Linked DNA regions of Drosophila melanogaster. The protein of the gene in region 1 purifies or fractionates together with the protein of each later gene. This does not show direct contact. Each region holds a gene or a part of one and is shown on either strand. Other genes may lie near its edges.

Region 1 (6,231 bases):
CGAAGCTGACCAAGTGGATTGTTAAGCCGCCGGCGAGTGCCCGAGGCACGGGCATACGCATTGTGAACAAGTGGAGCCAATTTCCCAAAGATCGTCCTCTGGTGGTTCAGAAGTGGGTGCCCATAACTTCGTCTTCTTTAAAAATCTTCCCTAACCCTAAACCCCACTTCAGATACATTGAACGTCCGCTGTTGATCAACGACAATAAGTTCGATATGCGTCTGTATGTGGTACTGACCTCGATCAACCCACTCCGCATCTATATGTACAAGGATGGACTGGCGCGTTTCGCGTCCGTTAAGTACAGCTCGGAGCTGAGCAATCTGGACGAGCGCTGCATGCACCTGACCAACTACAGCATCAACAAGTTCTCGCAGAACTATGCGAAGAACGAGGATTTCAATGCCTGCCAGGGCCACAAGTGGACGCTTCAATCGCTGTGGTCCTGCCTGGAGAATCGTGGCGTGAACACTAAGCGCCTGTGGGCCACGCTACGGAATCTGGTCATCAAGGGCATCGTGAGCGGGGAATCGGGATTGAATCGCATGTACCGCCAGAATGTGAACTTTCGCTACAATTGCTTCGAGTTGTTTGGCTTCGATGTGCTCCTGGATGAGAATCTAGTGCCCTGGCTGTTGGAGATAAATATATCGCCGTCGTTGCATTCGGAATTGCCACTGGATCTGCACGTGAAGGGTCCGCTCATTCAGGCCGTGCTGAATACGGCTCTATATCAGGTGCCGCCTAAGCTGAACGAACGTCAGCAGGCGGACATCCTGGAGGAGCTTAATCTGACCGGTCCGTTGTGCCATGACAAACGCATCTTCACCACCTGCCTGACTGCAGAGGAGGTCCGCAAACATAACCAGTACACCAATCGGAGCATCGAATTCCGGGAGGAGTACGTTGATACCATACTGGACAATCTACTGCCGGACGATGTCCGTTGCCTGATCGTTGCCGAGGACGAGCTGGCCAGGTGTCAGCCGCTGGAACGGATCTTCCCCACCGCCGGCACACATGTATATCTGCGCTATGTCGAGAATGCCCGGTACTATAATCGCCTGCTGGACGCCTGGGAGACGAAGTACGCCAAGAATAGGGAAATGGGCATTGCCTTGCTGTCGCGCTATTGCCGGGACAAATACCATTTACAGGTGTCGGACGCCGCCATGGAAAAGGTGAACGATCAATTCAATTCAATTGAATTTCCCCTTCCGTACCGCTTCTGTAGTCCATTTTCAAGTCATATTTCTTATCTAGGAACCAAATGTTGCACTTACCGAGATCGATATGCTGCACGTGCGAAAGGATGAGGTCTTGGACGGTGCCACCACGCTGGCCATACTTAAGCCCGTTGTCCAGGAGGGCTGCGAGGTGGCGCCGATTCCGGATGCCTGCATCGAGATCAAGTCCTGAAATTGAACCGAACTATCAGCACTATCACCATTGCTTCTTCCATTGCCATTGCCATTTCCATTCCCGTTTCCGTTACCAGCTCACAGCTGTGCCAGCATCCCGTGCAGATGTGCTCCGGAATTGTATCCGCTCAGTAAATTCACTTAACTTCGATCGTCTTTGGTGGCAATAGCCTGTTTTGGCATCCAGCTAGAAATTGGATCACACGTCATTTCAGTAAATATAAAACACTACGGGGTGTTTAAAAAAATTATGAAAATAAATATTTTATTTAAATTTAGTTCTTATTATTTATTCTTTATGCGAACACTGTAAACTGTAAAGAGTATCGGTTTTCTTATTGGGTAATTGCTCAGCACAGTACTAAGCTTTTTGAACTACGCGGGCTTTGGCAGTTGCGATAAGTCTAAGGAAGTGCAATCGATAACTAGCGGCGCAGTCTTGAGTTTTCAAGCTGCCGATAACGACATCACGCCTCCAATTATCGATAGACGTAGTATAATAACAATAAACAAAAATTCACTGTATTGCACGGCGCTAAAATAAAAATTAAGTTTGCAAATCATGGCGTGGACTGAATTATAAACCCGGCTTGAAACCAAAGGACTGCAAGTGGAACAGCTGAGCTGCACACTTGGGAAATTGCCAATCTGAAACTGCGTGGAAAAAAGAGTGGCCCATTGATTTTTCGCTAAGTATCTGCTGATTAAAAAAAAATTGACCGCAGCGTTGGAATTTCGGCCTGCCAATCAGAAAAATGAGTGGTAAGAAGCCAGTTCTATGCAAGAATGGGCACTATATATTAGTAACTAATAATATGATTTGCGGGGATTGGGATTTGCGTGCTGACTGTATGGGAATTTGCAGTCTGCTTTTGGGGAGTTGGGGTTAATGTTCAGCGGGCCGGGGGCTTCGAGGTCCTGGCTAAAAAGGACGCACCTGCGCCCTGACCTCCTCTCCAACTTCTTGAAAAGTGCGGACCCCTCGATGAAGTCATCAATTTTGTAACATGCACACGTATACAGTGAAGCTTGCATTATGTATTTCCTTTTTGGGCTTTTTGTTTTACATAATTCTGATATTGTGTTTAATGCATAATAAGTATGAAGTGGTAAACCTTAGTTTCTACCCACTGTGCTTTGTTAACCCAAACAGGCGACGAAAGTGGCGAGGAGAAGCACGTCCTGAACTTGTCCAAGCAAAAGCTGAAGAAGGTGCCCAAGCAGGACGATGCGCACAGCATACGGCAGCTCATCCTGGACGAGAACGAGCTGCAGAAGATCGACAACATAGACTCGTATCTCAAAATTGAAACGGTGACTTGCAACGTTCTGCGAAAAGAAACAAGTTCCTAATTAACAGAAATTCAAATATTTCAGCTCTCCTTGGCCAGAAATCAATTGCTGCGCATGTATGGCGTCTGCCGGCTGCATTGCCTGCGTGAACTGAATCTGTCCTTCAATGGCATACTCTCTATCGAGGGCCTGAAGGAATGCATCCATCTGCGCGTTCTGAATCTGGAGGGGAATAACATCAAGACCATCGAGCATCTGAACACGAATGTCAATCTGGAGTGCCTGAATCTGGCGGATAATAGCATTGGCAGCATTTCGGATATGTCCTATTTGCGCAATCTCAAGGAGCTATATTTGCACGGAAATCGCTTGACGCATCTGAGGCAGTGCGACAAGTGTTTGCCCACCTCACTGGAAACCCTAACGTTGGCCAAGAATAGCATCAACGATCTCAACGAGATCTGTACGCTGTCGCATCTGAGCAACTTGCTGAGCATTTCCATTGCGGATAATCCCTGTGTGACCATGATCAACAGTTTGGAGTGAGTTAGCTTAATGGATCATATGGATTGCGCTTAAAATGTAACATCTCTTGCAGTGGCTTTGATTACCGACCTTTTGTTTTAAACTGGTGCATGAGCCTCAAGTACATCGATGGCTTTGTGGTCGATCCTATTGAGAGTCTTAAGGCCGAATGGCTGTATAGCCAGGGACGTGGTCGCCAGTTCCGTGTGGGCGAGCAGCAGGGCTTGGCAAAATACCTAAGTTCTGTGTGCCCGCTGGTGGGCAAGGCGCTGGAAAATGAAAACGATAGGAAACTCCGGCTGATCCTCAGCAAGGCGCAACACCATCAGCGGCAGCTGCAGGAAGAGATCATGGATAACGCAAATAGTTCTGCCAGCACTTCGCCCTCATCCCATCGCAAGAAGCCCACGAGTCGCATTCAGTCGCCCAGATGTAAGTTATTAACTCCCTATCTATGCTTTTTCATATAACTTATATTTTTCTGTCTTCGATTTAAAGTCTCCCGCTTGAGTGGCCGCCAGGGATCACCGGAGTCCATGGTGAATAGCTATCACGGGAACAGCAGCAACAATAGCATTGTTAGCGACAATGGATCTACGAATCATTCGCTGCAAATGAGCATTTCGCTCATTGAGAACATTAAAAACGATGGCGAAGGCTTTAGTTTGGCCGGCAGCGGAATGTCCAGCAGCGTGACCACCAAGACATACAATTCCACGGAGTCCACGCCACGGAATATAACACCCAATCCCTACAATGGTATGACAATTAAAATATATTCAATGCAAGAGTGGAAAATGATGTTAATAGTAAACAACAATTCCACAGATCAAACGTTCATCAGTCAAACCCCATCTGGTGGTCCATTGGCGGCTGCCTCGAAAATGGTCCCAGTTCCGGAGACTCTGATGAGCCCGGATGTCTGTCCCGCCGCTGTGGCCCAAAGAGTTACGGTTACGGCACTGAACCCTCAGCTGCACAAGACCAAGATCAACAAAAATAAAGGTAGCCAGTAGTTGTTACTCTAGACTTTTAAAACGACACAGATTTCTAAAACATACATACACATTTACACTACAGACAACAAACTGAACTTGCCAAGAGTGCGAAGTCCACAACTGAAGAGGAACCAAAGCCCTACGAGCAGTCCACGGAGGATGGCCAATAAGTGCAGCGCGGACAACATGCAGGCACCGGAGAAACTCCAGCAATCGGCTGTTTTGGCCGATAGCGGTGGCTTCAGCACCGACGACGACGGCGAGCAAATCAACATAGAGAAACTGAGAGCAATCCGGAAGATGGCCGCTCAGAAGCAACAGCAGATGCATCAGGAGCAGCTGAAGCAGCAGGTGGACAACAACCTGAACTGCCAGGATCGGCTGATCGAGCACGTGACAGAGTCCTCGGCCGTTACCATCCAAAAGATGTGGCGAGGCTATCACACACGCAAGAAGACCAACAAGGACATAGCCGAGCGATTGCAGCGACGACGCACACAGGAGTATATCGAGTAGGTGGTCTCGTTTTAGGCAACATATATCGCAACTTTCTAATGCTCTATCTGTCGCATTCCTCAGACAACTCGGCAAGGATATGCTACTTACGAAGGCCCAGCTCGAGAACGAGCGAAAGATTCAGCAGCTGCAGATGCAGGCCATCAATGCGCTGTGGAAAAAGGTGTCCACCATGGAGGTGGATCCCAAGGGAATACCTGCTGCTGCGGAACAGGGCGAGGACTCCAATGGCGGAGGGTCTGGCCACCTGAGTCTCGATCAAAATTCAGCCGCCGTGGTAAATGATTTGGCGAAAAGATGCACCATGCTCACCGATCAGGTTCAAATGCTGCAAAGCTCGATTGGAACCATCGTCAACTGCCTCACAATGGTGTGCAATCTGCCGCAGGACGCTATTAAGAAGCAGGCCGAGATCATTGATTGCAGCTCCACTCAGACGGACCTCATTGCCGTACACACGCCGCAAATAGAGGACCTCACCAATTTTCCATTCACCAAAACAAGGCCCTCAACCTTGGCCCTAGAATCCAAGCACGAAGCTGCTCTGGCTTGTCCCAAAATCGATGAATTGAATGATGTCGACCTGAAGGAGACCCAAGAAGACTCGGAAAATCTTGATAAAGATCCATGAACAAATCCCAGTTAATAAATGAGGAGTATAAACGCTTTAAGGGTCGATCTCAGCGCTTATTAATTCCTTTCTTAGGCTTTTGTGTAGCTTTTGCAACAATATTAGATCGGTTACGAGAACTTAGAAGTAGCACCAGCATTCACAAACACATTACTTTGTTACATTCCTGAGATGCAGCGATGGTGGAAGACTTAACAATAGTATGAACAAATCGTAAATACAAATTTTTGTAAAGCACAAAAGGTGTTCTTGATTGCGGGCAGATTTTGTTCAAAAACAACACCAGCATTAACCAACAGTTTTTTTTTAATTAAGTTTGACAAATTTGTAAATAACCTAACTATGTGTGTGTTTGTACATCGTTCAGTCCTCTTCGCTGGATGTTTCCTCATCTTCCTCTTCGTCGGAGGAATCGCGATTTACAGGCCGATTTGTATTGGGCAGGAGATCATCCTCGAAATCGGAGTCGTCTTTGTTTTGGCTGGTGGCTTCCTCCTGTACAGGTTTCTTTGTGAATTTATCCGGCCAAATTGCAGCTTTTGTGTATTCCTTTATATGTTCGGGTGTGAGTATTTTGCAAATCTCGGCTTTGACTTTATCGCCCTCCTCAATCGGTTCGACCAGCAGAAAGTCGCCACGTTTCACCCACATGCTCTTGCGGAATTTGTTGGGCATCGAAACTAAAAGGGTCAGAAGGATACAAATTCATTATTAAGTATCAACATGAAATGAGTTGGGATGGGCTATCTCAACATGTCTTTATCGAGACGTTCAGACGGACGGACGAAGATATACGGACGAACGGAAGGACATGGCCAGATCGATTGGGATATTGATCCTGTTCAAG
Region 2 (5,047 bases), on another chromosome or scaffold:
ATGCGTGTGCGTCTTGAGGTGGTTGGTAAGGGTGCTCTGCTGGCGGAACTGCATGTGGCAGTAGGAACACGTGTACGGCTTGTCGCCCGTGTGGATCTTCTTGTGGTTGGCCAGCGTCGCCAGCTGGCTAAAGGACTTGTCACACGTTTCGCACTTGTACGGCTTAGGATCGATGTGGGTCCGCTCGTGGTTGTGCAGCGTGCTCAGCTGCGGGAAGCGGCGCTTGCAAACGCTACACTGGAACGGCTTCACCAGCTCCTCGGCCGCCGGCGAGCTGTAGCTGCCGGAATACAAGGTCTTTGAGATTTGGACGCGCTGATGCTGCTGCTGGTAGGCCTGGTGCATCTGGGACTTTCGGTGTTTGCCACTGCCCGTCTGCGGCTGATAGTTCAACAGGGAAGTTGGCGTGCTGGACTCCGCCGCTGTTGCCCGTAAGCGAAGCGAGAAATAGAGTTAGGTCATAAGGTCTATTGGGACGATGCGACCACACACTCACCCTTGTGCGTCTTGATGTGATTGATCAAGGTGCTCTGCTGGCGAAAGTCCTTGGCGCAGATGTTGCAGGTGAACGGCTTTTCTCCGGTGTGGATTTTCACGTGGTTGGTTAGCGTCGAGATCTGGCGGAAGGCCTTGTCGCAGTGTTTGCACTTGTAGGGCCGCTCGTCCGTGTGGATCTTCATGTGGTTGCGTAACGTGGTCAGCTGCCGGAACTTGTTCTTGCACACGTGGCACTGTTTCTTCTTGCGCGGATCGTCCACCACCACCTCCTCCTCGCTAATCACGCTCTGCACCTCCTGTTTCATAGGAGAAATGGGCGTGTGGCTGCCCCCGCCTCCTCCGCCACTGTTCGCTGTTGTAGTGGATATGTCCAGCAAATGGACCAGCGGGTGCTGTGGATGGAGCATGGCTTGGTGGGTAGGGTGCTGGATGGCCTGCACGGCGGTGAGTTGATGCAGCGCAAAGGGACTCTGTTGCAGGCTGGCCAGTGTGGTGGGCTGCTGCTGTCCCGAGTTGGGACCCGGTCCAGATCCACCATTACTCCCTCCTCCACCGCCACCGCCACCTCCTCCTCCGCCGCCACCGCCATGGGAGGCTGGCAGTTGGTAGTGCTGATAGTTGGCCATGGCTGCCGTGGCGGCTGTCGCATGGTTCAGATGCATGATATTCGAGAGATATGATCCTAGCGTGGATCTACAGTCTGCCCATCGGCGGCGTTACACAATGGCGGCCACCGACGACCCTCGGCCATTCCCCGCCCCCGCAGTTGCTTCCACTGCGCCGCTCCTTTTGGGGCCTTTTTTGATTTGTTATTTCAGTCGTCTGGTTTGCACTTCTGTGTACTTTTGCTGCGCTGCTGCTGCTTCTTCTTCTTCTCTTCTTCAACACGCTGCTTACGCTTCCACGTAGCGATTGGGAGGGCCTGAATCCGCGGCCACTTTGTCGCGCACTTCCCCACGATCAGTTTCCACCGTTTTCGCTCGCTTTTGGGGCGCTTTCTCCGCCGTTTCTGCAGTTTTTCCAGGCCACGCTCTTTTTGTATCCGTATCCTTATCAAAACAAAAATGACTGGCGTGGTTTTCCAGGGCTGAGCGAACGGGCAGAGCTGCACCCCCGCCGAACATCGAGTAATCGACTATCGGCCGGCCAGGGCTGGTGGCGCTAGAGAGCCTAACACTGGGTGGGTCGATAACAGCTATCGATTATTTGGACACTCCGTGCTGACAATTCAGCTGATTTTAACCTTTCAATTAGTTTATATTCAGATATCAACAAAGTGTAATTGTTATTTTATCTATACTCGATTTTGTAACTTTGCGCCCTTCTTAGCTTTAGTTATTCTATTATTCGGTTCCTTTTTGTTTAATGAGTCATAATATGTTCTAACCGTTACAAACACATATTTATTTGCGACCCTTAATAAATCGCTGTTAAATAAAAATCTTTCATTGATAGGCTACTTAAAGTAATTATAATATTTTGGTTTGCTCGCACAAATTTGATTTTAAAATCTAAATCAATAAGCAATGAAATTAAAATTCTAGCTTTTTAATAGCTGTTAGAGATAACTTATTCGTTAGCCTAAACCTATCGATAGTTGTCAGAACTTGTTTTGCTTTTTACGTTAAAACAAAACGCAACATAAACAATTGGGAGAATTCATCACACTATCCTCAGATTTACATACTTTCACCGGAAGGTGAATCTGTTTACCATGGGCGACATCGAAGTAAAGAAGGAGGAACAACCGACGACGCCCTCCAATTCCTCGTCCAGTGACGACGACGAGGAGGCCCCAGGCTAGTCTAAATAGTTAGGTCTTTACTGTCACTCATTAATTGAATTGAATTCTAGACGACACAATGGATAAGGTTCGACGCTTCTTTGCAAACACTCTACATCTCGGCGGCTCCTCGGACGCAAAGGAGGAAGTTAAAGTAGAGAAGGTGAGCGGAGCACCCGATAATTTGATTATCATATTGATTAAATCGCAAATTTGCAGGTTATTCCAGATTTGAGTTTTGACGGCTTTGCCGAACATTGGCGTGTGCATGGTTTCCGCAAGATTGTGACCATGGTGGGAGCCGGCATATCTACATGTTGGTACATTCTATATACCATTGTAAAAACTTACTAAGTTATCGCCATTCCTAGCTGCTGGCATTCCGGATTTCAGATCCCCAGGTTCCGGGTTATACAGCAATCTGAAGAAGTACGAGCTGCCACATCCTACGGCCATATTCGATCTGGACTACTTCGAAAAGAATCCAGCGCCGTTTTTTGCACTGGCCAAGGAACTTTACCCTGGATCCTTCATTCCCACGCCGGCCCACTACTTTATCCGTTTGCTTAACGACAAGGGACTACTGCAGCGCCACTACACCCAGAACATAGACACGCTAGACCGGCTTACTGGCCTGCCCGAGGACAAGATCATTGAGGCCCATGGCAGCTTCCACACCAACCACTGCATTAAGTGCCGCAAGGAGTACGACATGGACTGGATGAAGGCGGAGATCTTCGCCGATCGTCTGCCCAAATGCCAAAAGTGCCAAGGCGTTGTTAAACCAGACATTGTTTTCTTTGGCGAAAACTTGCCAAAGAGATTTTACTCCAGTCCTGAAGAGGATTTCCAGGATTGCGATCTGCTGATCATCATGGGCACATCGTTGGAAGTGCAACCGTTTGCTTCACTGGTGTGGAGACCAGGACCACGTTGCATTCGCCTCTTGATCAATCGCGATGCAGTGGGTCAGGCCAGCTGTGTGCTCTTTATGGATCCCAACACGCGATCGCTACTCTTCGATAAGCCCAATAACACTAGGGATGTGGCCTTTCTGGGCGACTGTGATGCTGGCGTAATGGCTCTGGCCAAAGCCTTGGGCTGGGACCAAGAGCTGCAGCAGCTAATTACAAGTGAAAGGAAGAAACTGAGCGGCAGCCAGAATAGTGAGGAGCTGCAACAAGGCAAAGAGAAACCGCAATCGGACCCGGATAAGATGACTTCGGGCGATAGGGACAAGAAGGATGCTTCGCTTTAGACCCTAAGATTAGTTAGTAACATCCGTAGTTAATTTGTAGTTGAATTGTGCAATTTGTTTACATGTGGATTACGTGTATAAAGCGGACAATGCCAAGCGCAGGCATTGCTGGCTAATACCGCGAGCTTTCTTTCTCCTCCGTTTCCGGCATTCAATTATTCAAGTGCCATTTGTGAGCCATTAGCGTGTCCCTTTTGGCCGGGCCACCATAAACCGCAAAAACTGATTGAGTTGCTCTGCCGTTTCCGGCGCACAAAAAGCAGCAAACCGCCAACAAAGGTTAACTCTCGACATGTTTCTGTTTCGTTTTCTGCTCTGATCCGGGCTTGGCTATGGATTTCGATGCTGGTGTTGGTGTTGGTGCTGATGCTGATTTCGATTCAGTTACAGCTGCCCAGCCCCTCGACATGGCTCGACCGCTGCTGTGGGCGTGGCATGTGGCATTCTAACTGCCTGTTTGTGTGGCTTACACGGATGCTGCTCCTGCTCCTGCTCCTCCTCCTGCTGCTGCTGCTACTGCTGCATCAACTTAATGACTCGCAATCTGTCCTGCAGAAGCACACACGCACAAAGCGAAAGAGACACACACGGTAGACCGGTAATGAAGCTTCTGCGGTGAATTGGCCAATAGAAAATACGTACGGGCAGGACTAATTAAAACCAAGCTCGCAATCGGGCCAGCGGATAGCTACTGCCGGGGTACACAACCGGATATTGTTAATCGTTGACAGGGGCGACGGTTCGGAGGTGGATGCATGGTATGATGGGAGGCATCCCAGCCTGTCAACTTCGGGACATGAATGGCTGCAGATGCATTAGGAAATCAAATGCAGCCACGGAAATATTGATAGCCACGCAATTTGTTGCAGTTTCAGCTGCCACTGCTGTTGCCATTGGAATTGCACTTGCTTTTGGCCCAAAACTTTTGCAATTAAAGCTAATGGCCTAAGATCTTGTCTATGTGCAATTTTCCCGAGTCTTGCCTTCTCAGCGAATGTTTTGCTGCACAAATAAAAATTATTTGTGTTCGCATGAAAAAGTTAAATAAATATCGATTAGCTCATCACGTTACGTTATTCAATACAAAGATTAGTTTGAAACATAAAAATAAATACGAAAAAGAAATATTCAGACTAACTGTTCACACATGAACACGAATATATTTAAAGACTTACAATTTTGGGCTCCGTTCATATCTTATGTAAATGAATCGAGAGCGATAAATTATATTTAGGATTTTGTTATCTAAGGCGACATGGGTGCATTGCTCAAAAACATGTAATTTAAGTGCACACTACATGAGTCAGTCACTTGAGATCTTTCCCCGCCTCCTAAAATAGTCCCTTAGTGGGAGACCACAGATAAGGTCCTCGCCGCTCAAGATAGGCAGATGTGCCCGAGCGTGGGACCTCGATAAGGCGGGGACTATTTACTTAGGCCTCTGCGTAGGCCATTTACTTTAAGATGCGATTCTCATGTCACCTATTTAAACCGAAGATATTTCCAAA

The links.
Region 2: the proteins of Cep97 (region 1) and Sirt2 purify together in Drosophila melanogaster (affinity purification with western blotting, with the first as the bait; one study listed by BioGRID). This does not show direct contact.

The regions. Positions count from the first base shown.
Region 1 is NT_033779.5:3,865,806-3,872,036, forward strand, and holds Cep97 (centrosomal protein 97kDa), read left to right. Parts: upstream 1-1,891; 5' UTR 1,892-2,176; coding exon 2,177-2,183; intron 2,184-2,574; coding exon 2,575-2,735; intron 2,736-2,798; coding exon 2,799-3,256; intron 3,257-3,312; coding exon 3,313-3,671; intron 3,672-3,737; coding exon 3,738-3,998; intron 3,999-4,067; coding exon 4,068-4,244; intron 4,245-4,284; exon of another isoform or gene 4,285-4,319; coding exon 4,320-4,749; intron 4,750-4,816; coding exon 4,817-5,384; 3' UTR 5,385-5,620; downstream 5,621-6,231. Other genes in the region: TTLL4B (tubulin tyrosine ligase-like 4B), read left to right, coding at 1-112, 173-1,181, 1,264-1,419; CG31957 (uncharacterized protein), read right to left, coding at 5,748-6,064.
Region 2 is NT_033777.3:20,326,377-20,331,423, forward strand, and holds Sirt2 (sirtuin 2), read left to right. Parts: upstream 1-2,088; 5' UTR 2,089-2,212; coding exon 2,213-2,297; intron 2,298-2,352; coding exon 2,353-2,444; intron 2,445-2,500; coding exon 2,501-2,597; intron 2,598-2,652; coding exon 2,653-3,539; 3' UTR 3,540-4,539; downstream 4,540-5,047. Other genes in the region: CG4360 (uncharacterized protein), read right to left, coding at 1-422, 497-1,160.